Lonchura striata: one gene and its partner. The protein of the gene in region 2 purifies or fractionates together with the protein of the main gene of each other region. This does not show direct contact. Links are inferred from orthologs where the notes say so. Each region holds a gene or a part of one and is shown on either strand. Other genes may lie near its edges. The genes, in order: protein FRA10AC1 homolog and ESS2.

Region 1 (14,977 bases), on a different chromosome or scaffold from region 2:
AAGAATGATCAAGTCTGCACAGTAATTCTTAATTAGTAAGGGAAACCACAAATTTAGTACAAGTGATCTAAAAAGAACATATCCTATAATAGTTTCAGGTACCAATTCATGTCTGCTTCATCTTCTTCATTCCACAGGAATCTATGATTTTCTCTAATAACATCAAGATCCGTCTTGTCATTTGCTCTATAAAAGGACACACATTTTTTTAGTACAATGTAACATTAAAATGAAAATCCATCAAATAATAATTTGGTAAGCATCAATATTTTACAGTTCTGTTCTCTACCTCACAGCATAAAGGAATACATTTCTATGAAATAAAACTACCAAAAATGTATTCCCTGTCATACCTGTTCCCAAATAAAAAAACTCACAGTTGAAAACAGCCACTGAAATTGCAGATGACTTGATCCTGTCTGAAAACACTTTTTATACTCTTTATTGAAGACAGTGATGTTAAAAGGCAGTTATAGACAGCTCTAAAGAAGTTATTATTCTGGACAATGGATAGCAATTCTGCACATTCAGAAGTATTTCAGACTGTTATTTTGAAGATTCTGACAGATATTTCTCAGTGTACCCTCCATTAATGATCACCTGTCATCCTTCCTTTTACATAACAAAACAAGAATAATTCAGCTCATGGTAAGTTCTTACCTAAAAAATATGAAAACAAAGTGAAACAAGGCAGTTTTGTGTTTGGGTATTTCCAATTACTGTAGTTACCAAAATGTGACCAAAATAATTAGTGATTTGATACACAGCTACATCCATCTCTGCCCCCAAAGCTATAATATATATTTAACAGCTTCACAAAACAGGGAGCTTTGAGGTCAGTAGGGGAAAAGTTGCTAACCGTTCTCACCCAGATCTTTGGAAATCCTCTATTTTGCCACCATAGTATAAAATGTAGTCATGCACAAACTTCTTATGTCTTTCATACTGAATAAAGCAATTAAGGATTGTTTCAGAACTTATTTCCTTTTACCACAGTTTAAAAAAAAAAAAAAAAAAAAAAAAACCCAACCAAAATCTTTTTCTATATTTGAGAGACTTTTCTCCTCACAAACAGTTCAGTAATTTAAGAAAAAAAAAAAAAAAAAAAAAAAAAAAAAGAATGGAATTAATTAGGAACTTTTACATAATAATCTCTCATAGAAGCTAATTTCCAGATACAGGAATTCTAGGCAATTTCATTTTTAAAACTTCATTCCTCATTTATAAAACTGTCTTCCTTTATCAAAGATGCTCTGTATGCACATACACAGAAACATGGTTCATTTTTTCAGCTGTGATTTAGGTAACAGCTTCTTTGTACTGCAGTTTTGGTTTAAAACAGGTTTGTACTTTTCTATTATAAAAACAGTCTGGCTACTAAAATGGAATAATTTGTTACATTTTTACCACCAACATACAAATAAAAGTTGTATGCTTTAGTTTGGAAATTAAAACAATGGAAAAATATGTAATGCTTCTTAGAACACTTTGGCCTCAGTGTGAGGCCAAAACAGAAACTTTGAAACACATTTTATACCACAATTTGAGCAAAATGTGTAATTACTTATTCAGAAAATAAGTGTCTACAAAAATAAAAACTTTATATATGGCTTCTTGAAAGATTTTCAAAACTTTTATCTCAACAGCACAAAGAAGCTCCTCTGAAGAGTGACTCAGTATCTGGTGCTGCACAGTCACCGACTGTGATAACTGAGAAATCCCAGTATTTTACCATAATGGATAACCTGTGTCACATCTTCAAACTTGAAAAATCAAACAGAAGGATACAGCATCCATCGATATCAAATGAAATCTTCTTTTTCTTGCTTCTTCCCTGTTAATAACAAACACGCTCCAGTGAAAACTATCTTTCCATTAAGAGGAAAATGTCTCACAAAAGCAATATATAAAAGATACCTATCACATTCTTCAGCTGCAAATTGTCTGTGAACCACACTGCCTTGTTTTGCTTTTTGGAATGGCTTTATCAGAAGGGCATCTTCCTGTATTCTAAAGGGGGGGAAAAGGAAGAAAAGTTATTCAAAAACTTTTCATAAGCAATAAAATTTTCATATGCTAAACCTTGCACTATCTTGAGTAACAAAAATAGTTATATTGCTATTTCCTACAAGAATAAAATGAAACTTCAGAACCAACATCAGCTTGGGCTTTACTTCATTTGCAGAACAAAATCAGAAAGGCATTTGCTTCCAGTTGGCATTTAAAGGCGATTGCTTGAAACAGCAATTTGCAATATTTGTTTTTATTAATATTATCACTATAGAACCACAATTATAAAACCTGGAAGATTCCTTAGTTTCACTCTGACGTTTAAAGTCTTTTACAAATCTCAGCTACGCAGGAAAGTAGGAACAGGAAAGACAGTGCATTCACTGAAAGAGAGTGACTGGCAGTAACCCTATTCCACCCTTTCATGCCAATGTCTCAACACCTCATTAAACAGCTCTGCCTCTTGTAGTGCAATCACAAGAATCACAAATTTAGAAGTCAATTACCATGTAATGAACTGTACTTGTCAGTAGGCAGCTAAAATTACTTTTAGAGTTCAACAAAGTAATAAAAAGTTAAAGATATACATTTTAGCTAGTAAAATGTATATTTATTTAATTTCATTCATAAACTGAGGTGCAAAAAAAGATTTTTTCCCATAATTTTCAGCAGGCAGAAAGCATGGCAATCAGAAACCTGAAGAAAGCAAGCCAGGAAATTTGTTTCTAGCTATGGAATATAGGACTCTAGAAATTTAAAGTATCATTTACTCAAAAGGATTTGTAAACACAAAATTCCCATAAGAAGGGTCTATAAAAAAGTAATTTGGAGAGAATTTAAGACTATTATTTTCCTTAAAGTGAAAATAAATACAATGACAGAGCAAGAAAAGGAACCCACATAAGAGCCCTACTGGGAATCAACAGTTATGTGCCAGAACAAGGATAATGATGGTATTTTTGAAAGACTCCTGATGGTTACTTAATATTGCACCTCAAAGTGGAATGGTGGAATATGCAATGGCATCTAAAGAAAATGAGATCTGAATAAAATCAGTCCCTATTTTAATGGAAAACAGCTATATTTATAAAATAAATGAAATGTCTTAATGCATGCTATTATTCCAAAGATTAAAACATTATTTTTTTTTCTCCCAGAATGCAATCAGACACTACAAAATCCATTCTTTCAATTCTTCTATAAAGGAAAAATATGCAAGAATCTTAGGAAAGTTTCCAGAAAGTCTTCTTAAATAAAGTCCAATAAAAAAGCAAGGGAGAGACAGAAAAAAAGTTAAGAAAAGTATATGCAAAATGTTGGCCAAATATTCAGTATGGTGCAGAAAGTGTCAAGGAACTACAGTACAAAAGCAAAATAAATACAAAAACAAATAAAAATCTTTACAATGTAGTCACATCAGATTACAAAATTCCAGGTCACTAACTGCAAACCACTGAAAGTACTGGCCAAGGTCATAATCTCAAATAAGAGATGTGCAGGTACGTTTCAAGGATTGATCACAACACAATTTACCAATACCCAGGTCTCTTCACAAATTAAATAATAAAGAAGTAGCATAAGTTCTTCACTTTATATCTCTATGTGTTTTATATCTACAAAGCCTGCTACACTTGGCCTTTTTTGCCTTGCTCTCCTAGCAGTTCCATTTGTCCTGATGGATCGCAGTGGTGTGAACAGCACTGCCAAAACCCAGCAGTGGATACTAATGCTTGGAAAAACAAAACACTCTGCTCCAAGAACTGAGGGGCAAATATACACCAGATGGAGTTGGCAGAACAGCTCTTAATCAGCAGCCTCTGGAGATGACAAGCTTTGGCAAACTTGAGATGAGGAGATGCAGAAATCAAAGTGATTGATTTTTTAAAAACCATTTCAACACCAGAACTTACATGCAACAGCATCATCTTCTATGCACACTAAGAGGCCATTTGTACAAAATACATAATGTAAAGTGTTAATTCTGTACTACATTACCTTTTAGTCTTTTGCAGAGACTTCTCTCCACTCTCCTCATCACTAAAATCAGAATCATAGCCTCCATGGCCATGTGCCTGAAAATAATAGACCAGTCAATATATCTGCTAATGTAATATGGATATGGCATAATTACAAATCAGTAGTGCCCATCAGCATAAATAAAGACAGAAAGACAGAGAGCAAGTGAACTAGTGCACATTCTCACATGTGTGAACCAAACAAAATTCCACAGACAATGCAGAGTATATTCCAGATAATACAGGGCCAAGAAAGATCACTTTGTAAAATAGATCACTTTAGAAATAATTTATATGCATATTTAATCTTCACATAGATGCAGCAAACTAAAAATATGATAAATACCTTAGCTTTTTATTTTCTAAACAACATTCCTTATGTAAGACAAAGGTGAATATCTTCCCTGGGGGCTGGAGGACAGCAAGTGATATGTCCACATTATAAATGAAGGAAAATGGGAATAAAAGTTTCTTGGGCAGCATTTTATATCATTAGATCTTATACTGGTAGCTGGAAATCTGATTGAAACAATAAATAAAATACAAAAAAAAAAATGCCTGCAAAAGTGTATCACCTCATCAGCACAACATTCCTACCAGAAAATGAAACCTTCTGTTCCACACATTTTGGAACTACAATGTTAAATTAAGGCATATAAGAAAACCAAAATATCCATATTATAACGCTTTCAAATGATCAAGTCCCGATGTATCACTTCCATTTCTCAAGGCACAGTTCCATGTTCAATTCCTTCAGGTGATGCAACAGCTTAAGTAGGTCCCATCTCCTCTCCCGCACTCCTACTCTCAGTACCCTTCCTACCAGGTGCTCAGTTACAGTTGTGAAAGTACACATGAACCAGACCAAACAACTCAGTTACAAAGGAACCTATGCAAAAAAAAATATTATTTAACCCAGATAAGTTTCCTTACAGTTCATCTGAGCCTCCACAACCTACACCAGCCAGCTGAAGGGACAGCACACGGAGAGAGCAGCCAGAGCTGGCCACCACATAAACCAGCACCAACTCCAAACAAGCTTTTACACAACTGAGGTAAAAACAAGAGGGATGGTTATTAATAGAGCTGCACGTGGGAAGGTTCCACACACGCTCCCAAAGTGTCTTGGTAAGTCAAACTGTGGATAAGAGAAGTCAATGGGTTAGAAAGCAAGCGCACTCGATTCAGCTGATTCTTACATTGCCTACAGTTATACTCCTCCTCAGCCAAAAAGCTGAGAAAAACAAAATCTGAAAAAAAGACACAACTCCACAGGATGATTTTGATGAGGTGCCTTCTCTTGATGCAAATGACTTGCAGAAATGCTATGCTGAAGAGTCAGCTGTATCCTCTACTGACACCTACAACTGGTTTGTACTGTGCACAGTAAGTAAAACTATTTTTTCAAACTGACAATGAAGGACTCTTTTTAAGTTTTTTAAAAGCCTTTACAATTATTATTATTAATAATAATAAACAAATATCATAATGTTCCTCCCACTCTTCTGGATGCTTCTGAATAACACATAACTCTACTACACATATATATTTCAACAAAAGCAAATCAGAACTTTTTCTGAACTATTTTCTATTTCCCACGAGACATAAAAATTGTCCATTACAAACAAAACAGAAACATACCGAAAAGGCAAACAACTCCCCCAAACAAAACCCCAAACCAAATAAGTGCAGCAGATGTCTGCTGTAAACCATCCTCATACACGGGCAAAAAAGCAACAACAATGTAATCTCATAGATAGGTGGTTCTAGTATAGCTAGCTTGTCACTACTTCTGTTAATGAAGCTTGTAAGGTCTTTAGAACTAAAGTCTGAACACTCTATGAGTATGCAGCAAATATATTTATACTTGGCCTCTAAGTTTAAAAAATATCATGCTAATCTGGGAATGTTTTAAATGGCATTAGTAATGCTTCCCAAATGAACATCCAGAGCTTTCTTCACACTCAAAAGGGAAGTCCCAGCCAACACCATGAGCATGAAAGCCCTAGGCAGATGAAGTACTGAACCAGGCAAGAAAGCTCAAATGAAAGGGGATTCTCACAAAGCAGTTGCGTTTGGATTATATACCCCAGGAAAGAAACAGACATCCTCACTAACCAGCTCTCAAGTGAGCCCAGGAATGATTCAAATAAAAGAAAAAAAGATGCAAGAAAAACTACTCCAACACAGTCATATTGTAGGGTTTTCAGATGTTGATGACTGCCTTTTGAAAAGCTGACTGTCAATATAAGGGCAGGTATGGCTAAGGACTAGGCTGCTTTTCCAACAGGAAAGCTCTTCACAGCTTCAGACATTCCTTTGAATCACTGTAATACCGCACAGATAAATTCAGAGTGAAAAAGGACCCAGCCCATGACTGCTGTCCTGACACTTGTGGATCACTCCTCTGTTGAGGCAATAGCAGGACAGACAGGTCCTGCATTGGTGCTGGGCCTGACAGCAGCAGCTCCAGCAGTGCTGGACAACACTCACAGACACTGGGACTGAATGGTTTCTAACCTGACACCTTAGGATGATTCCAAGATGACCTGACTCTTGGTAAAACATACGTACTTCATTTCATGGACTTCCATCTCCAAAGAACCTCATCTATAAATGAACCTTGCCATTTTGGAAGGACAATGCAAACCGACACCTACAACCCCAGATACGAAAAATATGTTTAACTGTAGGCCTAACCTATCAGATATAGACATGGATGTGCATAATCAGCAACAAAACTTAAAATAACTACTTTCACTATTTAATAAACCCTTCAATATAAACTTTGGTTTGATGGAATTTGTCAGACTCAGAATGCTTCTAGTTAATTACTAATACAAATACCAAGTCTTTTCTCAAAACACAAACCTGAAAGCTAAATGACACAGTGTATTTTGCTGTTGCTCCAACTTTGAATTTTTTATTCCCAAACAATAAAATAAACTGAAACCACAAAATTAAAACAAGCACAAATATGCTTTGGGGTATATTTAGCTCACACTTAAGTAATCCAAATATCTTGGATTATTTAATGATGAAACAACTGGAGACAGAACAGAGTCCACTAAACTCTTGGCTCCTAAAACCCACGCAAAACACAGTAAATGCATGAACGTTGTACACAACTGATGTCAGACTGAGATACCAACTCTTGATGTCAATCCAGGACACCACAAACTACCCAGCACTGCATTTACAGCAGGTACTTGGATCCAGAGAAGGCACCTCCTTTAAGCCTCTCCAATGGAGTAAACACACACTGGTGAAATGTGTCCACTCCTAACCACAACGTGACTGAACATGAAACAACAGAACAAGAAAAAAAGGCAAAACAATTCTGTAAAATACTCCCAACTTGTGGCTCCTGACCTCGGGCCCAGTCTTGTCACGGCCCTCACAAGCCATCCTTCCCTTTATCTGCCCAGCACGCAGGTCTGTGAGTGTGTCTGCTCACGGCCCAGATGTGACCCAGAACAAACCCGAGTGCTCGTTACAGTGCAAACTATTTGGGGAGGGTATGAAGGAAGCACAGGATCTGTAAGAGAATTTGAGGAGCCATCCTTGATGGATAAATGATGCTGTGTGGAAAGTCAGAATGATTCACTGCAACATGCTTTTCCCACCTTGATGTTGTCTGTGAAGGTCTGCCACCCCTACTTGGGGAAAAAAAACCGAGAATAAGCAACTAGCTCCAAATCGATTCTTCCTTGTAAGACCTATTACAAGGAGTGCCTGCATATACTGTACAGCGAGCGGCCCTAACAAAGAGAAAAGACACTCGCAAGATACTGCCCCTTTATTACAGCTATGAAATTAAAAGTAGGAGTAAAAGGTAGGTAACAGCAGACGACGACATCGAGGATTAGAGCTCTGTGGAGGCCCACGGAGAAACGAGCACCGGCCAGTCGGACGCAGCTTCCGCAGCCGTTCTTGCTCGCTCGCTGTCCGGCAGTGGCCCGGCGCTGTCCCGGCCCGCCTGGCCCTTCCTCCGCCGCCGCAGCGGGGCACAGGCACGACCCCCGGCTGCCCGTCCGCCGCCCGGGGAGGGCGGCTCGGCCCTTTCCCCACGGGCACGGCCGGGCGCCTCTCCTCGCCCTGGCCCCCGGCCATGGCGGCCGCGGCCTCCACCAGGCCTGTCCCCGCCCGCCTCCGCCGGGCGCCCTTCCCTCCCTCCCTCCCAGCTCCACTCACGGCGGAAAGGCGCAGCTGGTCGGGCTCCATGGCCGCGGCAGGGCCGCCTCGGCCGCCCGGCCCCGGCGCGGCAGTGCGGGCCGCTGCCGGGCCGCCGGGCAGAGGCGGAGCAGGGCCGCGCCGCGGGCTCCCTGCCTCCCTCCGCCCTCCCTCCGCCGCGGGCGGGCGGCGCGGGGCCGCGGGGCGCGGGGGAGGGCGAGCCGGCGCGGGAGGGGAGGGGAGGGGAAAGCCGCTGATCATGTTTAGGGGCGAGGGGAGTCTCCCTGCCCGGGAACCCGGTCAGCGGCCCCGGCTGCCGCGGTCTCCGCCTCTGGGAAGGTAGGACTCCGCCGCAGGGGCTCAGAGAGGCCCGAGTGCGCCCCTCTCCCCGGCCCGGGTCGCCCCTGCCCCGTCCGCGGCGCTCTCGGGCAGGCAGTCCCTGCGGAGGGGGCACGGGCGTAGACCCCGCTGCGGTGCCGGGGCTCGGCGGAAAGGCTCCCTGGGGGGGATCGGGAGGCGGGGGTCGCTGTTCGGGGACCGCTGCGGGCGGGAGGCCGCGGCAGGCGCTCTGCGGGCGCAGCAGCTGCCAGGCGCGCCCGGGACGTGCGCGCTGCCCTCGGCGCGGCGCAGACCGCGACCGTGGCCTCGGCACGGCGATCTGTAGCACCGATTTCTGCCCGTGCCAGCGGCTTCTCTTCTTTTCAGTCGCATCTCGCAGTTAGAAGAACGAAAGGCAGTGTGTGACTCAGTTTCCCTGTGAGGACCGACGGCAACTGGGCGATAAGAGTTGGGAGCTTGTGGGTTGCATCATAAAAAGGAGTTTTATAAGCCAGAAATATTTGCTATAAAATAGCTGGGAAGCACCGATCTTCGGCATTAAGTCATCAGATAGATACAACAATTAGCTGTCAATGAATTGATAGTTTCCCATCAAAGACAACCTGAACTGCTGAGGTCTGAAATGCTGTAGTTCATCACAGGTACTTTCTTCTGGACTGTGTTTCCAGTTGTGTTACTGATTCCTGGATAGTTAAACCACAGACACACTTAATACAGGGAATTATTAAAAATTCAAATATTTCTGCTCCCCTTGTAATGTGCAAATTGTAAAATGTAATTTGTAGCTAGCTGCTTTTCTGCAGTAAGACAATCACACACCATAGCTGACAGTGTATCACCTTACCTTGGCTAGTAAATCTCTGTTTTCAGATTTTTTTTTCTCCTGACCTAGTGTTTGTGTTACTTGTTATGTCATTATTGCTGTGAACGTATGCAAAGATGATGCTAAAGTGTCCCACGGAAAGGAACTGAGTGGCACTGTACATATTTGAGTGTATGCAGTATTCTGCTGAAGTCCTACTGAATGTGGCCCATTTCCTCTAAAGGGCAGAGACTCTGTTGCAAAAATGGAATTATCCTAATTAATAATTTAAATCTATCAAAATAAATAATGTATACCCTCAAAGCTGTAATAGCAAGCATCTTTTTGTTGTTCCTGTCTTATGGAAATGACAGACTGCTTTAGTGTGAATGAATTTTGACATGATTCTGGAAACTGGGCCAACATATCATTGATTATGCACTTTGAAGAAGAGTGGGAAAGGTAGAGGAAAGATTTATAATTCTGAAATCTCTTGGCATTGTGCTGTGGCCACAAAGCCTGCATATAGAAAAAATACAGTTTCTGGGACAGGAAAATTCTGCAGTGAGTCCAGCTATAGCAGCTGCTGTAGATGCTGAAGTTATGTTATAAACAGCTTTTCTGAGAATAGCAGCTAGATAATTTCATCTTGCTATGCTATGCTTTTCTGATGTCTGTGTTGCTTTAGAACATCACCTGACTGCATTTTATATGTGGCTACAGTAAGTTACAGCTGGGGAATGGGTTCAGAAATGGCCTCCTAAATAAACTGGAAGTTGAAACTGAATATGCCCTTAGCCATTGGTATATGCATTATACGTTGCTCCAATAGGAGTATCTCCGTGGTTTAATTCTAGCAACAGTATGTTTTGACACCAAAAAGGCACTGCTGTCGTATGAGTCCCACAGGACTGGAAGATACAGGAAAAAGAACAGACGAGATAGGCATAACTCTTTACAGGGCAGGAGGTTTTAAGTGGGATTTTGATGGCTGTACAACCAAACCTTAGGAGCACAGCTTTCCTTTACAGGAAGTCAATCTATGCTAATCTTTACAAGTCAGGCTGCTACTGAAGAGAGCATTCTTCTTGAACTCGCCCTGATGCTCATCTGACCACTCCTGCTGAACTGCAGAATTTAATTTTCTGCCACTCTAGGTTCTTTGACTGTCCTGATGTGCTATCTGGATGAGCAACCCTGGTGGGGCAAATAAAATGTGTGGGATGGGACAGGAGGGAAGTGGGGAGTGAGAAACAGGGGCTGCCCTTTCAGCAGCAGCTCTCTTAGATCAGGTCAGCAGTAATGTGAAACAATAGTCTTAAATTACAGTAGCCCTAAACTTTGTGGTCCACAAAGGAGAAAATACCACTGTAGCTTTAACTTCCATTCTGCCCTAAATCTAGAATGAGCTAAATAAAATATGAGACCTGGTGTATCCAAAAGGTTTAAGTCAGACATGGTTCATACATCATAGAGATGCAGAATTCAAAGTATACCTGACATATGTATTGAGCTGTTCCTAAAAGGTTCTAGTATAGGAGCTTTCACAGCTTAACACCTTAATCTATTAACCTCTTAGGTATAAGGAGTTTTTCTTACTATCTAAGAAAAAATCTTATTTGTTGCTACTCGAGTTAATTTCTTAGTGTCCTGCACTAGTTTGTACAGAAAGCAAGAAGTGATCATCATTTAAATCCTGGAAGACATATATCCCCACAGTTTTCCCTTTTTGCAGCCTGAGAAGGTACTTCAACCTTTCTATATAGGTTACATATTGGAGAACTCTTATATTTTGTTCCTCTTTTTCAGGCTTAGATTTCTCTATGTATTTTTAAGAAATACAAACAGTAGGTGTTTACTCCTTAACAATATTTAGCCAGGAAGAAACACATCCGCCTTTCTGCATAAGGTGATTGCCTCCTAAGATCTTCTGGTAAAGTTGTTTAAACTCAACAGCCTCTGATCTGTTGAATCAAAATTAGTTTGGTTAGCCAATTAAAAAATTGTTCCAATTTTTAATGAAGCAAATCAGAAGGTTTTGCCAGCAGGCTCGAAGAGGCAGCTACCACTGGTATGGAGAGCAAGGGCAGGGCAGTCACTGACAACTACTACCATTGTGAGCTGTTGCTGCAGACTACATTTGAGTTTGATTATGAGACAGTAATGTGGAACCATCAAGAATGCTAGTAAAACTTGTATTTGTCCTGTTTAATCTTTTCTCTTTCTCCATTAAGTCAGTTCTTTTGATACTGCCACCTTCCTATGTCCTACATGTCTATGAAGTAAGTTGCCAAATAATTTATTTTTGTGTCTTCATTGTACAAACAGTACTTTGGCATCTGTCATGTTCCTGATTTTTATCTCCTCCTATTTGAAACCCCCTAGTAATTTGTAGAAAAAACAAGTAAAGCTAAAAATGGACATTCACATATGCCAGTAACATCACATTCAGTAACTGTAGCTCTTTTTCATATAGCTGTACCAGTTTACAATTTCAGGGATGTACTGTGCCTCCCAACGAGCCCTGTGGAAGGTATACACTAAAATCAGGCAGCTGATTCCCAAGCTTAAGACTTCCTGACAGTCTGGGAAAACCAGTGGGGCTGTACATGAGGGGCAGGGCCTCACACTCATCAGTTCCCATCACAGGTACTGATAACTCCAAACTAGTCATTAATTATATTCTTTAATAATCTAGAGGCTATGTGGAGATAGCAGGCAGTGCATACCTGGTTTGTCAAAATCAATAAATGGTGTGTTCCACATTTTTTTGTCATACAGGAAATATTAAACATGGATCTTAACTAGCCACTAGGTGTCAATGTTGGTGTGCTAAAAGGCAAATGCAGTTTTATTTGTTTGGCTGATAAAGTAATTTTCTCAAGAAAGGAACTGTATTTAAAGACATTTCCAATATAGGGTCAGTTACAAAAAATAATCATAGACAAGCCCATGCTTTGTCCATCATTTGAAGAGAAGATGTGCAGTTTTATGATATTTTGAAGTTGCAATTAGCATTTCAGTGCATAAGCATTGTTAGAAAAGTGCCTTTGAAAAAATGGTATCTGATTGATCATCAGTTTCCTTCCTTGTTCTAAAATCCCAGACCTTTGTAAAAGTAGCCACAATCATTGTATTACATTTCACCTGTTAAGAGGATAAAATAGAGCTAATAATACAATAGCTAATCCTATTATAAGAGTATTGAATTTCCTAAATTCCAGTTATCTGTGAACATTTTCCACTTAATTGTTTCTGTTTAACACCATTGGATATCAATGTCACATACATTGTGTGGAGACAAATTTTATAGAACATGAAGACTTCCAATATGATTAGCAATTTGGAAAACAGAAATTTTGAAAATGTGCATATCTAAAGGTAGATCCAACAGATGATGGCATTTTAGAAGGATATACGAGATAGAATTTGACCCATGGACCTTTGTTATTCCTGGCTTCTCTAGGGTGAACAAATCACTGCCAGTCTCCACAACCACTTACTGCCTTGTGCACTGAAGGTGCTGGTTCTACTGTCTGTCTACAGAGCACTTATGTTGACACTGAAGTTTGGAAATTTGTTTCATAAACAGTCATGGAAAGCTGAAGAAGACAACAGTGCACATCCTGAATTCAGATCAAGCTTGTTCTGCTGTTAGGATAAAAACAAATATCAAAGGCTCTTATTAAAAACAAAGTTGAAGGTTCCTGTTGAATTTTCTTCTCCCAAGAAGTCAAAAATGTGAAAATTGCATCCCTATTCTCAGCTGATCAAATTGGTAAACAGAATCCCAGTTTAGGCCAAAATGTTAGAAAATACAGCCTAAATAACCTGATTTATTCCCTTAGCTCCACCTCCTATGATGCATATAAGGCCTCTCAACTTCATACACAATTCACAAGATGTTTTTTTATTACTGTTGACAGAAGAGCAGCCTTAGTCTCCATTATCATGGACTGAAGTAGTTGAAATCCTGAGCCACAGTTTATTTGATGGTAGCATTACTTCCACTCTAAAGAATCTTCCATTCTAAAGAATCACAGATACATTATAAAGGAACTATAACTGTTTAAATTCCTAATATCTGTTTTAGTTTTATTGCCTGTGACTACAGAGTTATGTAAGAATCTTATAATATTATCTTGAAAATCAGATTGCTTAATTAATTAATTATGTTGTAATTAAGGGAACGCTCAAAGCATCAACCTTGTTCCTAAAATTTCTGTGTACTTCAAAAAACTTCATTAAAATAAAGTTTCCTGCAAGTCCTTGATAAGATGTATAGTGTAAATAATAGCATTATGATAATGTAAAAACTAACTGATTCAATTATGGAAATAATAAATCAGACTTTAATAAAACAGTAATTCTTAGATTCAACTCCCAGAATTATCTTTAAAGTTTAGGCTTATTTTTGCAAAATGTACAGAATTTTACTAAATAAATCTCCTAAAGATATTATGTAGGCTCTTGTCTAGTGTCTTTAATCATCAGTGCTAGTTCCACATTTGTTTTGTGGCAGGTGAATTTTGTCTCCACAGCTTAGTCTGGCAACTCTGCTCAGAACAAAGCTCACTACATGCATATAAGCATGCATAAACTTGAGTAGCGACTTCAGCCTATCAGGAATTTAATTTAAAGTAATTATCAGTATGTACAAAATACTACTTCTTAGTTTTATCAACCTTCACTTAAGTAAGTGGAATACAGAAACTGACTCCTCCACCATGTTCCTGTTTTCATTTGAGGAGATTTTAGAAGTTCATTATGCTTAAATTCCCTGAAGTATGAACTATTTCCTAAGAGAGCAAAGAATGCCTAATCTTACTTTTATGACTAGATCTGCTTTGGTGGAAAGTGACTGATGGCATTCAATTACATAAATAGAAAGGCAAATTTGTTTTTCCAGTTTGATATCAGAGTTATTATATTAAGATGAAAAAATCATAAAAAATAATAAGAGAATGAAAATCTAGTAATGTGGAAATAAATAAGAAAACAACTGACAAGCAATGACTTATTTTCTTTAAAGTACATTGTTTCCCACTAAATTTTTTAGAAGGGGAAAAGAAGAATACATGAGCAAAGTTAAAGTCCATTGCATTTTTAAACCATAGTGAAAAAGATACATGTTCCCTCTTTTCCCGAGATGCATTTCTGTGCATAATGTCTACCATGTATATATATTCATCATATTCGCTTATGAGAATTGAGGAAAGGTACAAATCATTGACAAGGAATATTTGGAATCTGGAATCTTCTATATAAAAAGGTGACAGACAAGTCACTGTCATCTGAATCATGCAAGCAGTTAAGCACTATTTGTGCACCCAGCATTCTATGTAACCTGGAAAAGAAAGGTGCCTTGAAGTCAAAGATGTAATGCTAATAGAGATGTACAGTCTCATTCCTGCAAACATGTTCAGAAAATACCTGTTAATTTTAGAGAAATGTTTCATCTTTACTTAGAAGTTGAGCTCTCAACTCAGGAATCCAGAAAGCCAGTCATGAAACTGTACTGTGGAGCTGGTAAGATGAGTTCATCACAGTGTTTTCCACTGGTTGTCCTTAAGCAATGAAAAAAAATCAGAGCTTATTTGCAATATACAGTGCTGCAGTCAGTTGTTTGGAATCTCAC
Region 2 (14,911 bases):
GGTAAAGATGCCAAAAAACTCCAGAGCTGTGCCAGGGGTGGGCAAAGCCAGCCCAGCAATTGCCTTACAGACCTGTTCCAGTTTCTGGAAGGAGCTGCAGCTGCTGGTTGCCTCCATCTGGAATGCCAGGACACAGCGGAGCAGGGGTCGTGCCTCTGCCTCCCCCAGCGCCTGCAGACCCTCGCTCAGCACCCGCGTCAGCTGGAGAGCCTCCTCCAGGTGCTTCTCTTTGCATCTCTTGGCAGTACTCCTAAGCAGGACAAGGGTAGGGGTGAGGATACCTTGGCCCGGTGAAGTTTGTAGCGGGGGAGTACCGCGACTCAGTGGGATCTGGGACCGGGGTGCCCCAGCGTGCGGTGTCCCCTCTGCCAGCCGCACTCAGCATTTCGCTGGAGGACGGAGGGACGGCGGCGGGGGAGGGGAGCTACACGAAATCGTCAAAGCTCAGCGCATTGCAAACCCTCGCTGGGCAGAAGGGCACGAAAACCCTCAGCACTGCAGCCCTGGAAGGGAACGTGGGGCTCGGACCCCTCGCTGGGAATCGACCGCCCCTCGCTCCCTCCCTCCTGCCCTCCCGGCCCGCGGGACGCACGGCCGCGGCGCACCGGGGGCGTCGCGACGCAGCCGCCGCCGGGCACAGCGGGAGCTGCCTGCCCGGGGCCGCGCTCTTACCCCGCGAAGTGCCGCAGGCAGCGCAGGCAGGAGAGCACGGCGGGGGCGAGGCCCCGAGCGCCGTAGAAGGCGGCGCAGGCCCGCGCCTCCCGCTCGGCGCCCATGGCGGCCGGCCACAGCGCGGGCCCGCTGCGGCGCTCGGCGGCGCCCCCTGGCGCTGGCCCGTAACAGCACCGCCCGCGGCGCCGCCCGGGACCCGCGGTGCGTCCGTCCTTCCTTCCCTCACCCGCCCGGGACCCGCGGTGCTTCCTTCCCTCACCCTGCCGGGACCCGCGGTGCGTCCGTCAGTCCTTCCCTCACCCTGCCGGGACCCGCGGTCCTTCCTTCCCTCACCCGCCCGGGACCCGCGGTGCGTCCGTCCGTCCTTCCCTCACCCTGCCGGGACCCGCGGTGCGTCCTTCCCTCACCCGCCCGGGACCCGCGGTGCGTCCGTCCGTCCTTCCCTCACCCGCCCGGGACCCACGGTCCTTCCTTCCCTCACCCGCCCGGGACCCGCGGTGCGTCCGTCCGTCCTTCCCTCACCCTGCCGGGACCCGCGGTCCTTCCTTCCCTCACCCGCCCGGGACCCGCGGTCCTTCCTTCCCTCACCCGCCCGGGACCCGCGGTCCTTCCTTCCTTCCTTCCTTCCCTCACCGTGCCGGGACCCTTGCCGGCTGCAAGGCAGGAGTTAAAGAGCATCATCATCCCGAGCCGTTTCCGTAGTCGGGGAAAAGCGAGATAACCCAGAACCTCCGAAAACCGTGTGCTGCCTGCCGAGCACAGAGGGATTTGGATAGCATGAGGCGGTGTAAGATCTCTGAAATGCCCACTGGAATGCTTCAGCGTGAAGCATTTGTCTGATTCCATCGTGGTTCCTTGCAGAAGAGGAGGTTTGGTACCCCACGGTCCTGCTCCACCACGGACACCATCTCTGACAGCCAGCACCACTATTGGTAGCATCCCTACTAGAAATATCACTAATAACACTACTACCCAGTGGAGAGATTCCACTTCTTCCTGTGGAATGAAATGGCCTTTGAGGAGAGAGACAGGTTTATTGTAATTATCATCTAATCAAATGAGTTTATTAGAATTCTTAATCTTAGTTGGTGCAGGGTTGAACAATTTTAATTGGCACAATTTTAAGATCATCTTTAAATGCCTCCTTCAATCCAAACCACCCAATGATTTTATGACTTCTGTTTTTTTATTAAACATAGTTTTAACACCTGACTAGCACATCGCACTGAATTTCAGCTACACAGAAAATGCTTCTTGTTTGTGATCTTGAAGGATTATTTTTACCCTGGGTTCTTTCTCACAGTGGTTACGGAGTGAGTGATGGGCATCTGCTGCTTGGATGATCACAGGCAGCCCAGGAAAACACAGCTGGCATGCACCAGTGGCTCCACTGGGTGGCCAGGAGGACATTGAGGTGTGGGTCCTGGGCTGAGCACTTCCCTTGGGGATGGAAAGCCCCCAGATTGTACTTTTTTGCAACACTTGTCAGCAGCCTCCATCTCTGTTCTGCTTTAGGAATCAGCCTGGAAGCCCAAATCCAGCCAGGGGTCCAGGTTTGCCCTGACTGCTGTCAATATCAATGAGTGAAAGAGTGCAAGATTTGTTCCAGGTAAGGCAGAGGAGTGCAGGAGCATGGTTACATCCTTCAGATCTGATCCTCCTTTTCCTCAGCATCACAGCCACCCCACACTGGTGATAGCGAGTGGGGAGAAGCACTGCCAAACGAGAGCTCCCACAGGTACCAGCACACAGGCAGGGGCAGGGCAGAGGAGGGTGCTGCCACACTGTAGGGTTTCCAGTGTTCCCATCACCTTGTGCTGCCTGCAGAAGGGAGGGGCAGAGGAGGGAAAGGGGGATTTTTTCTTGTTTCACCATAGGAAGGATTTTCAAACCCTATAAATTCACTTTTGACAAGTGAACAGCTAAAGCAGATTAACCTTTTTGCTAATCCTCTATAATGGCTTTGGAATCTCCTTAACCAATAAGAAAATTATAAGAACCTGTTTCTTTTCTTTTTATCTATATCTATATTGTCCTCTCTTGTCTGCATGTTTTTTCTTTCTTGTTTTATTTTCCTTTCCTTTTCTAATATGAAATAGCCCAGCGATCCTATCTCCCAGAGGCTCAGTAAACAGTACATCAGAAATCCCTTTCCTTTATTCCTCTCTGGTAACAGGGTGCAGAGAAGTGTCTGCCGATTGGGATTTGATTACCAGCAGCTATCAAAAGTCTCTTTGTACAATCTGGGTCCTAAATCCCATAATTCTTTGATAAAAGAAGTATTACCAGTCCATTTTCTGTAGTGAAAGGTATGGGAGGAATGAAAGAAAGCAATCAGTGGAGATCCTAATAGGCTAAGTGCATGTGTGGTGGGAAGGCAGGGCTGGGACAGGATGCCCAGGGAAAGGCATCCTTTGTTAAGGATGGGGAAGGAGAATTAATCCTCTTCAGGCATATGAACAGAGCTGGTCAGATCCTCCACCTGCCCTATGGCCCCTCTGGACCAGCACAGAGTGGGGAGCAGAACCTGGCCCCACATCCACTCCTTGTGCCAGCGTTTGGGTACATGCATAAAAACTGGGAGCTTTTGTGATCTCTGGAATTAGGGCATCCCCAGTGCCTCTCTGGAGCACTGACACCTTGGCAGGGCAGCAGTGAACGTGTCCAGACCGAACAGCCACAAAGGTGTCTTCATCTCAAAAGGTAAAGATTCGCAGAGCTCAGTTATAATCCAAGTTACACCACTGGAACAGCTGAAGCAGAGGCAAATAAAGGGATGGAAGGAAAAGCAGCAGTTTGGTTTTAGGTGAGTCACAAGTAGAACAGCTATGGACGTCTCTTCCCAGCACTAAGGGACCCGCAGGTGAGGAAGGGCAGGCAGTGAGCAGGGATGAGAAGAGAAAAGGGAGCTGAGAGAGGCTCTCCTGGGGACTGGCTGTAAGTTTTACAGGATGCTGGGGACATTGCTGGGCTGTCCAGCATGAGGATCTTTGGTGTGCAGTGGTTTCACAGCACCACCCGTGTGTCTCCTTGGTGTACCATGGGTGGGACTGCAAGGAAACACCAGGTGTGAGTGCTCCCCATCTGAGCTCCTGAGGCCTTGCTTCTCGCCTTGGCTTAACCACACTGAGAGAAAGGGAACTTGGGTTTAAACTTTGCTAAGCAACCTTATCTTAACCACACCTTCTCTATTTTATTCCCAGCTATTCATGTCAGTTAAAAACACAGGGTCCAATATGTTCTCTCCTCCTGTGGATTGCAGCTTCCAGACCTTGCTGTTTGCCCAGGGGAGGGGGCAAAGCCAGGCCTCCCTTCCTGTCCTGAATCTTGGCCATGGCCTCTCCCCAGTTTCTTTGGCTGGGCAGGAGCCAGGAATTGAACGGACTTTGGGAAAGCCTGGCTGTGGCACTGAATCCACACTCGTGCCTGGATGGCTGTGGGACCTCACTGAGAGCACACAGAGGCAGCAGCAGCAACAATCCCCCCCTTCCCTTCCCCACACAGAGCATGGCTCAGCTGCATGGGAGGCGGTTACATGCCACTAAGCTGCTGTGCAGAGCTGCTGCAAGCAGCTCGTAATCTAATTTATTAAGGTCTTTGAATCCTTACAAAGAGTATGTTGGATACATGCAAAGCATCTGCATTATTACAATGATTAGGGCAGCAGACATGGGGGAAAGGGGAAGGAGGGAAAATACGATTTCTCTGCTTTCAGCAGAAAATGAATCGACTTTCACAGAGAATTCTGGCAAAGCCAAAGGCTGTGTTGTCATTAAAAATGATTTTTTATTAAGCTGAACTCTCTCTTCTCTCATATTGTATGATATGACAGCTCTCTTTTGATGGGAAAGCTTTCATTTGGCCAGAGAAAGGGATAATTTGCTTCTTTTAAGGAGTTAATCCTCTGGTCCATTTCCGGGCTGGGAACAGCTATCCTCCCCCTTCCTTGGATAGGAGGCTGCTGCACAATGGAGATCATAACCACCTCAAATCTACACCCGAGATGGAGAAATCAGATTTCCTTCTCCAGTCATTTTTATGGGATTAGCTAAATCTTAGATCCACACTAACCCTTCACAAAGCTGCCAAGATTAGTTAGAATTTATTTTATTTGCAGGGGGGTTTTACGGTTTTCTTTCCAAAGGGATTATATCTCTCTCTATATATATATATTTAGAGTGGCTTCAGTCATAACACAGCTAGGTCAGAGGGAGGAAAAGAGTGTGTGTGTATAAAATAAAAACTCAGCTGTAAGCATGACAGCCACTTGAAATGCCAAGACAAAGCTGTGGTTCTGGATGGCTTTGCCAGTCCATTTTAAAAGCCACATGAGCTGTCCTTTCCCTAGCAAAACCCCACTAGGGAGCCAGTGAAGGGAGAGCACAGCCCCCAGCTGGGCTGCCTGCTTCCCCAGCCGCTGCTGGCACAGGATGTCTTCAGAGCCAGCGCCAGGGGCTGACGCCGGCAGGAGAGGCCTGAAGAAGCCACGTCCGTTCAGCATCGAGGACATCCTCTCCAGCCCCGTGGAGAAGAGCCCCCAGGTCTTGGTGCCGCTGTGCCTACGGAGCATCTTGGACTGCACACCCAAGCGGCTCTGCGAGCTGGAGACCATCCCAGCCAGCTCCCTGCAGGAGGAAGAGGAGGAGGAAGAGGAGGAAGAGCTGGAAGGGGCAGGCTGCAGCTGCTGCTGCTGTTCTCACACGAGTGCCCGTTCCCAGCAGGACCTGCCAGCTTGGCTGGGTGAGTGTTGGGTTTGGTTCAGGTGTGGGGCTTGCAGAGGGGCTGGTGCCAGTGCTGTGGGCAGGGGAAAACCTGGGTGTTAAGTGGCAATATGGCATCTGGCCACAGCGGTCTTGGGCCTGAGGCCCAGCAATCTGAGCTGTTCTCAGCAGGGCTCCTAAGAGTGCTGCTAGCATTTGAAAAGAAGAGGGTGCCGATTATTACTGGATATTTCTGGTTAGTGTGAAACTCTTGAGAGAATGATACTTCGAGGGGTTCAAGCTCTTTGTGGAGAGTGGAGCCCCATGTGCAGAGCTGTGCCTGTGCTTCCTGACAACACCAGCCCTGGGGAACCTCACTTACCCTTTAAGGAAAAGGGTTTTGGCTATGTCAAGCAAAATTACTGTGGAAAATAAAAAGTAGCAAACCCTTAAAAATGCAGTTCAAGAGCATCCTGAAGGTTCAGAATTCCCTTGTGTCAGGGCTGAAACACAGATCTTTGCCGGGCTGTGAGTTTGCAGTTATTTTCTGGATCTGACCATAGTGCAACTGGTAAGTGAACAAAGAAAACCCAGCCAGTGCTCACCACCTGCATCCTTCTCCATGTCATGCCCCAAACTCTTCTCCCACGTGCATGGTGACCACTCAGCTTGCCACCCACTCCAGGTGACTGGCTGCCTCCTTCCAATCTGTAGCAGGGATGCAACAGGTGCCTGAGCTGCCTTGAGCGTGGCGAGTGTTTGAGCCCCACACCTCTAACACTGCTGTCCCTGTCCCCTCGCAGATGCCCGCTTCCCCTGGCCCCTGCGGCTCTTCCACCCGGCAGTCAGGGTCTGTAGGAGCTCCCAGGAGAAGCCAAGGGAGCTGCAGACCTTCCAGCAGATCCAGCGCCGCACGCGCCGGCACCGCACCATATTCACCGAGGAGCAGCTGCAGGCTCTGGAGACACTTTTCCACCAGAACCAGTACCCAGACGTGGTCACCCGCGAGCACCTGGCAAACCGCATCCACCTGAAGGAGGAGCGGGTGGAGGTGAGGTTCTGCCACTTGCTGAGGGCAGGATTCTTGTGTTCCTGCAGTCCCCAGGAACACAGACTGGGGCATTGTGCTGTCTTTTTTTGGGGGCCTGCACACTTATGGTCTCATTTTAAAATCCATCTTGTGCATTTGACAAAAGAGAGTTTAAGTCTGGTGAGCAATGGATGAATATAAACCATTTCAGCTGGGCTAATTTGTACTGGCATCCAGTCCCACAGACTCACATGATGCCTCTCTCCCAGAATCACCTGTCACACAGAGACATGCCCAGCTCTGCTGCTCATCCCCTGCACCCAAGTCTGTATTCCTTACATAAGTGACCTGCGTGACTTCTGAATTTGTCATGGGGGGTCCCAACTCCTTTGTGCCCCTCACACATACCCAAGAAAGATTGCAGCAGAGGGACTGATTACATTTTGTATCAAGCCTTTCTATTACAGTACCTCACAGCCCCGGAGGGCCACTGCCTGTCCCCCTCCCAGTAACACCTGACATGCAAAAGCCCTTTTCTTGTTTTGCACTTTCTAGGTTTGGTTTAAAAATCGTCGGGCGAAGTGGCGGCATCAGAAGAGGGCGACTGCCTCTGCACTGACCCTCCAGCCCAAGCAGCCCCCCAAGGAGAGCTGTTAGTGCTCACAGGCTGCAGAGAACACCAAGAGCACCACTGCCGTAGCTGACAGGCTCAGGGGGGTAACCCGAGGGGGCTAATGCAGCAAAAAGGGAACCTCTGTGGTTCACACAGGAGGAGGACGGGTAAAAGCACACTTTTTGGCACTTTCACATGCCTCTTCCAAACCTAGTTCACGTGGCAAATAACTCAGCAGGCAGGATGTGCAGGGGACAGAGCTGTACTAGTGTTAGATGTGTGTGCTTTAAGAGAAGGAGAAACTCCCCTTCGTGTCTTTACTCTGTGCACGTAGTATTTGTGCTTGTTTTATTGATGTAGATTTGCAAAATATCCTGCAAATGAATGTGTCCTGTTTGCAGCACCTCAGTGGCATCTAGAGTTGCTTTTGGGGTTGAACTTGCTGGACAAGCGATTTGTTTCATAACAAAGAAACACGGGTTTCTTCCCATAGCCTGGGGAGAGGTGATGAACGTGCTGTGCTGAGAGGACTGGCACAGGCAGCCTTCGCCTTCAGCCCTGCTGCCAGCCAGTCCCTGTCACAGCGAGCCGTGTCCGTGTTCCTGGCGGGGCCAAGGAGAGGCCAGGAGCTGGAAAGCGGCGGGATCAATAAAAGTGCCCTGCCACCCCGCCCAGCAGCCAGCCGGGGTCCGCTCCGCGGGCCCGGGGGGTTTCTGAGCAGGTCTGAAGAGACCGTGGGGGCGTTGAGGGGATCCGCCCGGCGCCCTTCCCTTGTCTTAACCCGGTTCTCATCCCGTGTGTATCCCCGTTGCCAACTCAGCTCCCATCCCCTGTGTATCCCGGCTCCCATCCCGTGTGTATCCCGGTTCCTATCCGGCTCCCACCCCGGTTCCCATCCTGTGTGCATCCCGGCTCCCATCCCGGTTCCCATTCCCGTGTGCATCCCGGCTCCCACCCCGGCTCCCATCCCGGTTCCCATTCCCGTGTGCATCCCGGCTCCCATCCCGGTTCCCATTCCCGTGTGCATCCCGGTTCCCATCCCGGTTCCCATTCCCGTGTGCATCCCGGCTCCCACCCCGGCTCCCATCCCGGTTCCCATTCCCGTGTGTATACCGGCTCCCACCCCGGTTCCCATCCCGGTTCCCATTCCCGTGTGTATCCCGGTTCCCATTCCCGTGTGCATCCCGGCTCCCATCCCGGTTCCCATTCCCGTGTGCATCCCGGCTCCCACCCCGGCTCCCATCCCGGTTCCCATCCCGTGTGTATCCCGGTTCCTATCCCAGCTCCCACCCCGGTTCCCATCCCGGTTCCCATTCCCGTGTGTATCCCGGCTCCCAGCCCGGCTCCCATCCCGCCGCAGTCCCGCCCGGGACCGGCCGGGTCCTCCGCAGCGGCAGGGGGCGCGCGCGGCCCCGCCGCTGCCGGAGGGGCGCGCACTGCGGTGCCGCGGCGCGGAGCTGTGACGTCACGGCCGGGCGCGGTCCCGGCGGCGGTTCCGACGCCATGGAGGCGATACCGGTGCCCCCGGCCTCTCCCGCCGCTCTGGTGCCGGCTCCCGCCGCGGGCCCCGTCGCCGTGACGGGGAAGGAAGTGGTGTCGCCAGCTGCGCGGCACTCGAAGAAGATCCTGGATGAGGAGGCCTATATCGAGGTAAGACGGCGGCCCGGGACCGAGCCCGGGAGGCTCCGCTCCGCCGGTGCTTGTGCCGAGCGCTGCAACCGCAGCTGCGGGTGGAAATAGCGCCGGGGCCGCCCCTCGGGCTGCCGGCCTGGGGCCCGGGGCCGCCCCTCGGGCTGCCGTCCTGGGGCCTGGGGCCGCCCCTCGGGCTGCCGGCCTGGGGCCCGGGGCCGCCCGTGGCTTTGCGCTGCTGGCCCCGAGCTGAGCCGGTGCTCCAGGTGTCCCAGCGGGGCATTGCAGTTGTCTCTGTCTCTGCAGAGCTTAGAGAAGATCATCCAGCGAGACTTTTTTCCCGATGTGGAGAAGTTGCGAGCACAGAAGGACTATCTGGAGGCTGAGGAAAATGGTGACTTGGAGAAAATGAGACAAATTGCTATCAAGTTTGGCTCTTCATTGAACAAATCGTCGAGGGACACACCTGCACCCTGTAAGAACTGGCTCTGTGGGGCATCAGGGGTGTGTATCTGATATTGCTGCTCTATCTAACTTCGTGCGGACAATGCTTATCTTAAAGATTCAATGTTGATATTGCATGAGAGCTGAGTGTGCCGGTTTGGGCAGTGTCTGGTGGCTCATGCTGAATTTCTCTTTGATGGTGTCTAATAATTCTTTGAGGGAATGGTTTTGGGAAAAACAGCCATTTAAAAAGCATTCCTCATAGGCATCTTTTGCCAAGTTCCTGCGCTCTAGGTTATGTGCTCTCTACTATGAGAAACCCTAAGCTATGTTTTGAATCCTTATTTTAGTTTGTAGTTTTAGGGGCTCTTGTTGCATCTACAGATATTTGAGATTCTCATGTATCAGGGACAGAAGAAGCTCGTGGTTATCAGAGGTTCCCACAGCAGGTATCCAGTGTTCTGTTTTATGTTTTCTTTCACTTTCAGTTTAGGTGTTTCCTAAAGCCCAGCCCCTGGCTGAGCTCTTGCAGTGGGGTTTGAGTAAGGGGCTTTCTTGTGGCAAAGGGCATCACCAGGTGGTGTCCCTTCCTTCCCTGCTGCAGGTGCTGGCCCTGGCCTGGGCTCAGTTTGATCTGCTGCTGCTTTTGTTGGCAAAAGCAGGGTGTAGGGTGACTACACCCTGGGCTGTGGCTCTCCTAGGAATTTCTCCCAGCAGGAGAAAAATGTCTTAGATGAGGCCAAAATCTTGTTTAGAGGTTGAGACAGAATTCAGTAGAACATTTTGGAGCTCTTTTCACAAGTTTTTAATTTAATTTTTGTTCTCTTGATATGCCTTCTGTGACTTACTTGGTACAGCATCCTTAGAGGAAATCCTGTTGTGTGCTCCAGTAACCAGGTGATTTTTTTTTTTTTTTTTTGATGGCAGATGTTACCCCAGCCACATTTGAAACCCCAGAAGTGCATCTAGGTGGCCTTCCAGTGGGAAATAAATCTAAGACTGGTATCAAGACTGCAGAGGAAGGTAGGAAAATTATGTTTCTCCAGCTGAATTCTTCCAAAATTAAGTTGTCTGCCAGCAGCTGGCCATTTGTACATTTCACCTTTAAAATAAATTGCTATAAACACCATGAAAGGGTTTATTGGAAGCTGGTTATATGTGTTCCAAGCCTGATTTATTCCTGCACCACTCTGTGGAGCTGTGTCTTTGGCCAAGCTTGATGGCATTCCTGGTGTGTCTGTGGAAGGCTTGCTGCCAGCAGGGTTAGGAGGTGGATACAGTGCTCCCCTGGAAAGGGAGGCATTAACCTTCCTCAGGCTTCTTCCCTTCTCTTGTTAGGAGAAGCAGAAAAAGATGATAAAGATGCTCTTCCCAGCCTGGACACCTTCTTGGCAAAGCACACGAGTGAGGATAATGCTTCCTTTGAGCAGATCATGGAAGTGGCCAAGGAGAAGGAGAAGGTCAAGCACGCCTGGCTGTACAGCGCGGAGGAGGAGTACACCCGGGTAGGGAATTGCCTCAGCTCTGTCTCTGCTCTTCCAAGGGACACAGCAGGGAAATGCATTTCACTGGCTTTCTGCTAAGGCCCAGCTTCCTGCATCCCATGACTGCTCTTTGCTTCCCTGTGCAGTCCTGCTTTTTCCCCTTCTGTCACACAAGAACAGTGCTTAATTACTGAGGCTTAGTCTCTTCTGAAAGCTTTGAGGCTGCAAAGCACTGCACAGAGTGTAAGTATTGCTGTCCTTGGCAGCCTGTTCTGTCAGCAGCATCACAGTTCCTGCTGTTTGTCCGTCAGCCCCTTATTATTTGCAGTTTGTCTGTCTTATTTCAGTTTTCAGCTTCTGTTATCAGTAATAACCCACACAGCTGCTGAAGCACAGAACTGCAAGAGCACGGCTGGCTGTGCTGCCTTCCTCAGCTACCTGCAGGGGAGGTCCAAGTGCTGTTCTGGGCCTGCTTTTTCAGTCTTTAACCATCAGCAGTGAGCAGCTGGGACATTGATGGCTGTGGGATGCAGTGCCTTTTCATGAAGTTTGGCACTGACATGTGGGTGTTTGCTGCTGTTGTTTTGAGGGAGTGTTATTTTTTTTTATCCCAATTGTCCCTCAGACTGTTACATACCTTATGCAAGGTGTCCTAGGGCAGGTGGCTGAGCTTTTGACTGAGCTCTCCAAGTTGTGTCTGCCTGAATAAAAGATTGCAGGAGGCTGCTTCAGAATTTTTTTTTTTTCACCTTTTAAAACTTTTTTTTTTTCCATCACCCTTTCAGCGACAAAATGAAAACCTGGCACTTCCTTCAGCCGAGCAGCAGGCTCTGGAGAATGTGAAAGCTGGGCTGGATACCTGGGAATACACAGCTCGGAACACCCTCATGTATTATCCTACAGGTGAGGCATTGGTTCCAGGTGGGTTGGCTCCAAACAGTGCTTAAAGCATTTCTGTACATGACTGAGCAGCACTTACAGGTCATGCTGTGCTTTTTCTTCTGTAAACTTTTTTTTAAACAATGTCTTTTTTTCCCTGTTTTTCTTGGCCTCTGATTCCAAAGTTTGATCATGTTCTATTTGCCATTGAAAAGCTCATCTGTATTACAGAAATACCTGTTTTCAGCAGCCAAAGCTCTTTCCTGGTCTGTCTTCTTTATGATCACTTGTTGTCATCTTCATTTGTTTGCTTCTGCTCAAAGAATTCTCTTTGGACTTGTCAGTCTGTTTGTTCCTATAGAAAAATATATATTTTTGTAAAAGTAGTTTTCTTTTTTGGCTGTAAATGTACAATTGATAACTTCTGTGAAGCAGTGAAGTAAAGAGCTCTTTTTTAAAAGTCACTTTGCTTTTCAAGGTGTACCTGATGATAGTGAAGTTTTTAAGAAGCCCAGGGAAGTTGTGCATCGAAACACCCGTTTTGTGAAGGACCCTTTTAGCCAAGCTGTGAGCAAATCACAGCTCCAACAAGCTGCAGCCCTCAATGCTCAGGTTGGATAATTTTACTTCTGACTCAAATCGTGTGGTTCATCCCCCAGAACTGTGTGTGTGTGCTGGATGCAGCTGACTCTCACCTTTCTCCACATTGTCTTTTGTATTTCAGTACAAACAGGGCAAAGTGGGACCCGATGGGAAAGAACTGATACCCCAAGAGTCTCCAAAAGTGAATGGGTATGGATTTGTGGCTACCCCGTCTCCTGCCCCAGGTAAGAGGATTTTCTTATTTCTTCTGCTTTAAGAGGACTATTACTGCACTTTCTTTGATGCTGTCTTCAACACTAGGGTGTCATTACAGGGTTAGATGAGGAGGTGAAACCTCGTGCTGTGTATGCCAGCAGGATGCAGGGCTTAAATCCTAGTCCAATACACTGGTAGGAGAAGTTACCCTGCATCAAGAGACTCTGAAGTTGCTGTGCTATTGCTCAGGAATCATCTAGCTGTGGGCTACTTTCAGTTGGAACAAACTGAACATTTTAATTCGAGTTGAAACATATACTGAATTTGTACCTGTTCTGCACCTGCCCGTTGTTTCTCTGTGCTTTTTGTGGTTACCTCAACGCCTGAACATGCTGGGGCTTTCCCTCTGGGAAACCTGTAGGTGGCGTTTGGAGCACCTCCTTTCTCCATCGTAAATGCCTTTTCCAAGCCCTGGACAGCAGGATTTTCCAGCCAGAGACTTAATCGGGCTCTTAGGATCCTTTCTACACCTGTAAGAAAAGGTGCAGTCACTGTTTGGTACAGGCTGCCCCCTGAGGTGATTGGAGTGTACATTTGGCTATTACATGTCCTTAAATCTTCTGCCTGTTTTCTTACTTTTAAAGAGTTTCCTATGTTCAAGGAATTTTTATTTAGCAGCAGAGGGGACAACTAGTACTGTAGAGGGAAAAATGAAAGTATAACTAATCAAAAGCTTAGCAAATGGAAAAATGAAGACATGGAAAGGGTGGTGCTTGGTTGTTGTAACTGGGAGGGTGACACAGCTACAGGCAATCCCTTTTAATGGGAACCACATGTTCCCACTGGCTGTGATCTGTGATTTCCTCTGCAGTGTAGGGGCTCCTTTGTTGATTAATTTGCTGCATTTCTTAATTTGCTTCTCTCTCCCTTCTTTTTTTTTGTGATGAATGAATAACAAACGTCTTGCATGGGCATAACTTGCTGAATTTGTTTTCAGGTGTCAGTGAGTCACCTTTTATGACATGGGGTGAAATTGAAAGCACCCCTTTGCGTCTGGAAGGGTCAGAAAGACCATATGTGGACAGAACACCTGGCCCAGCTTTCAAGGTATTTCATGTTAGCACAACATTCTTTTCTGGGGGGGAAGAACTAAGAAGGGAAAGGCAAGTGAGTAAGGAATAGATTAACATGGAGTGTGACACATCTCTGGGTGGTGTTCCCTGTCCTTGAAACTAATAATCTAGCTTGTGCTTGGAGGGTGGAGGTGAGCATGGATCCACATGAAATCTTCTTGGTGGAGCTACCTGAGGTTGGAACACAGGTAGGAACTGCTGGCAGGACAATGAGATTCTGCATTTGGTGGTGGGCCCAGACAGAAGGGCTTTCAGAGGAAACTGAAGAGATGCTCAATTTTTCTGATTTTAATGTGTGAATAGGTGGAAATTTTAGCATTTCCCTCTGTCTTTATCTTCTGGCTGTTGCAGCCTGAGGCAGATGTATCAGTTGAGAGTAGAAAAGACACTCTGGTTTTGCTAATGGCACCTAACCCTGCATGCTACTTGTCTCCTGCTGGTATCTTTGAATGTGAGATGTCTGAGACTCTTAGTTTAAGAAAGGTGTAATTTGCTGTATGTGCCTCTGTTTTGTTAGACTCCAAAGGCCTTGACTGGTTCTCCTGCTGTTTAAGAATGTCTCTGTATGCCTGAGAGCAGGCTGGCTACAGGCCAGGCAAGACACAGGTGACATTGTTTGTCTAGGAGAAACAGCAGGAGGAAATGCCAGAGGTAATGGCTGCTTCCTTGACCGGACTCGTTTTACAATTTTTGTTACTTGCTAAGGCAGGTTGAAGGTCTCTGTGTCCTCTCTGGCCTTTATGCAGCAGCAAAGAGGTGTGGGCTGACCCCACTTGTCCCTGTACATTGGAATCCAGCTGTGAAGGTGCTTTGACTCATTTTTCATCACTCTTGAGTGCCTTGGCAAGTGAACTGTGTGATGCATTTATAGATCCTGGAGCCCGGACGCCGTGAGAGGTTAGGACTCAAGATGGCCAATGAAGTAGCAGCTAAAAACCGAGCAAAGAAGCAGGAGGCACTTCGAAAAGTGACAGAAAACCTGGCCAGGTGAGACTTTTGTTTTGACAGCAGACCTGGGGGTGGCTATTATCTGATGAGATGTAAATCAGCACCTGTAGAAAGGGAGGAATGATGGTAAGGAAGGATACTGGAATCAGGAAGAGGTGCATTTGGACTGAAAGTTACTAAAATTTAAAAATTTAGAAATTAAAAAAACTTAATTCCTGAGGGAAAGTGGCTGGTGGACGTCCCTGACACTCTTTGTCAGCATTACTGCTCTGCCCTACAGCCACCCAGCGATGCCTCTGGATCAGTGCCTTGCCTTATTGCAAAGAAGAGACATGATAAGAGTTGCCTGGGGGGTCACAGGAAGGACAGAATGGGCTCAAAGGAAAAGTCAGGCCATGCCACTCAGGTTTGGGAAGGATGCAGGAGGTTTTTTTGTCACTTGTTTCTCTAGAGAGACAGGCTGCATTTACCTGCAGGCAGAATGACTTCTGCAGGCAGTGGGTCTTCTCTGTGGGGGGAAGTCACGTAGGAAGGCAGTATTACTTTTCCTAATAAAGGCAGATTTTTTTACTGTAAAATCT

Evidence for each region.
Region 1: the proteins of ESS2 (region 2) and protein FRA10AC1 homolog purify together in Homo sapiens (co-immunoprecipitation; 3 studies listed by BioGRID and IntAct, counting the BioPlex papers as one, with this or other methods). This does not show direct contact. The link is inferred for Lonchura striata from reciprocal best matches to the Homo sapiens genes ESS2 and FRA10AC1.

The regions. Positions count from the first base shown.
Region 1 is NC_134609.1:16,815,957-16,830,933, reverse strand, and holds the start of protein FRA10AC1 homolog, read right to left. Parts: upstream 8,345-14,977; 5' UTR 8,250-8,344; coding exon 8,220-8,249; intron 7,861-8,219; exon of another isoform or gene 7,803-7,860; intron 4,083-7,802; coding exon 4,006-4,082; intron 2,011-4,005; coding exon 1,918-2,010; intron 1,835-1,917; coding exon 1,789-1,834; intron 946-1,788; coding exon 869-945; intron 187-868; coding exon 103-186; intron 1-102. UniProt on the Homo sapiens protein: May be involved in pre-mRNA splicing.
Region 2 is NC_134620.1:6,789,138-6,804,048, reverse strand, and holds the start of ESS2 (splicing factor ESS-2 homolog), read left to right. Parts: upstream 1-8,477; 5' UTR 8,478-8,518; coding exon 8,519-8,665; intron 8,666-8,950; coding exon 8,951-9,119; intron 9,120-10,015; coding exon 10,016-10,111; intron 10,112-10,426; coding exon 10,427-10,593; intron 10,594-11,357; coding exon 11,358-11,475; intron 11,476-11,929; coding exon 11,930-12,063; intron 12,064-12,175; coding exon 12,176-12,278; intron 12,279-13,246; coding exon 13,247-13,356; intron 13,357-14,253; coding exon 14,254-14,369; intron 14,370-14,911. Other genes in the region: tRNA (32-2'-O)-methyltransferase regulator THADA, read right to left, coding at 73-250, 673-776; GSC2 (homeobox protein goosecoid-2), read left to right, coding at 5,103-5,412, 6,176-6,423, 6,958-7,059. UniProt on the Homo sapiens protein: May be involved in pre-mRNA splicing.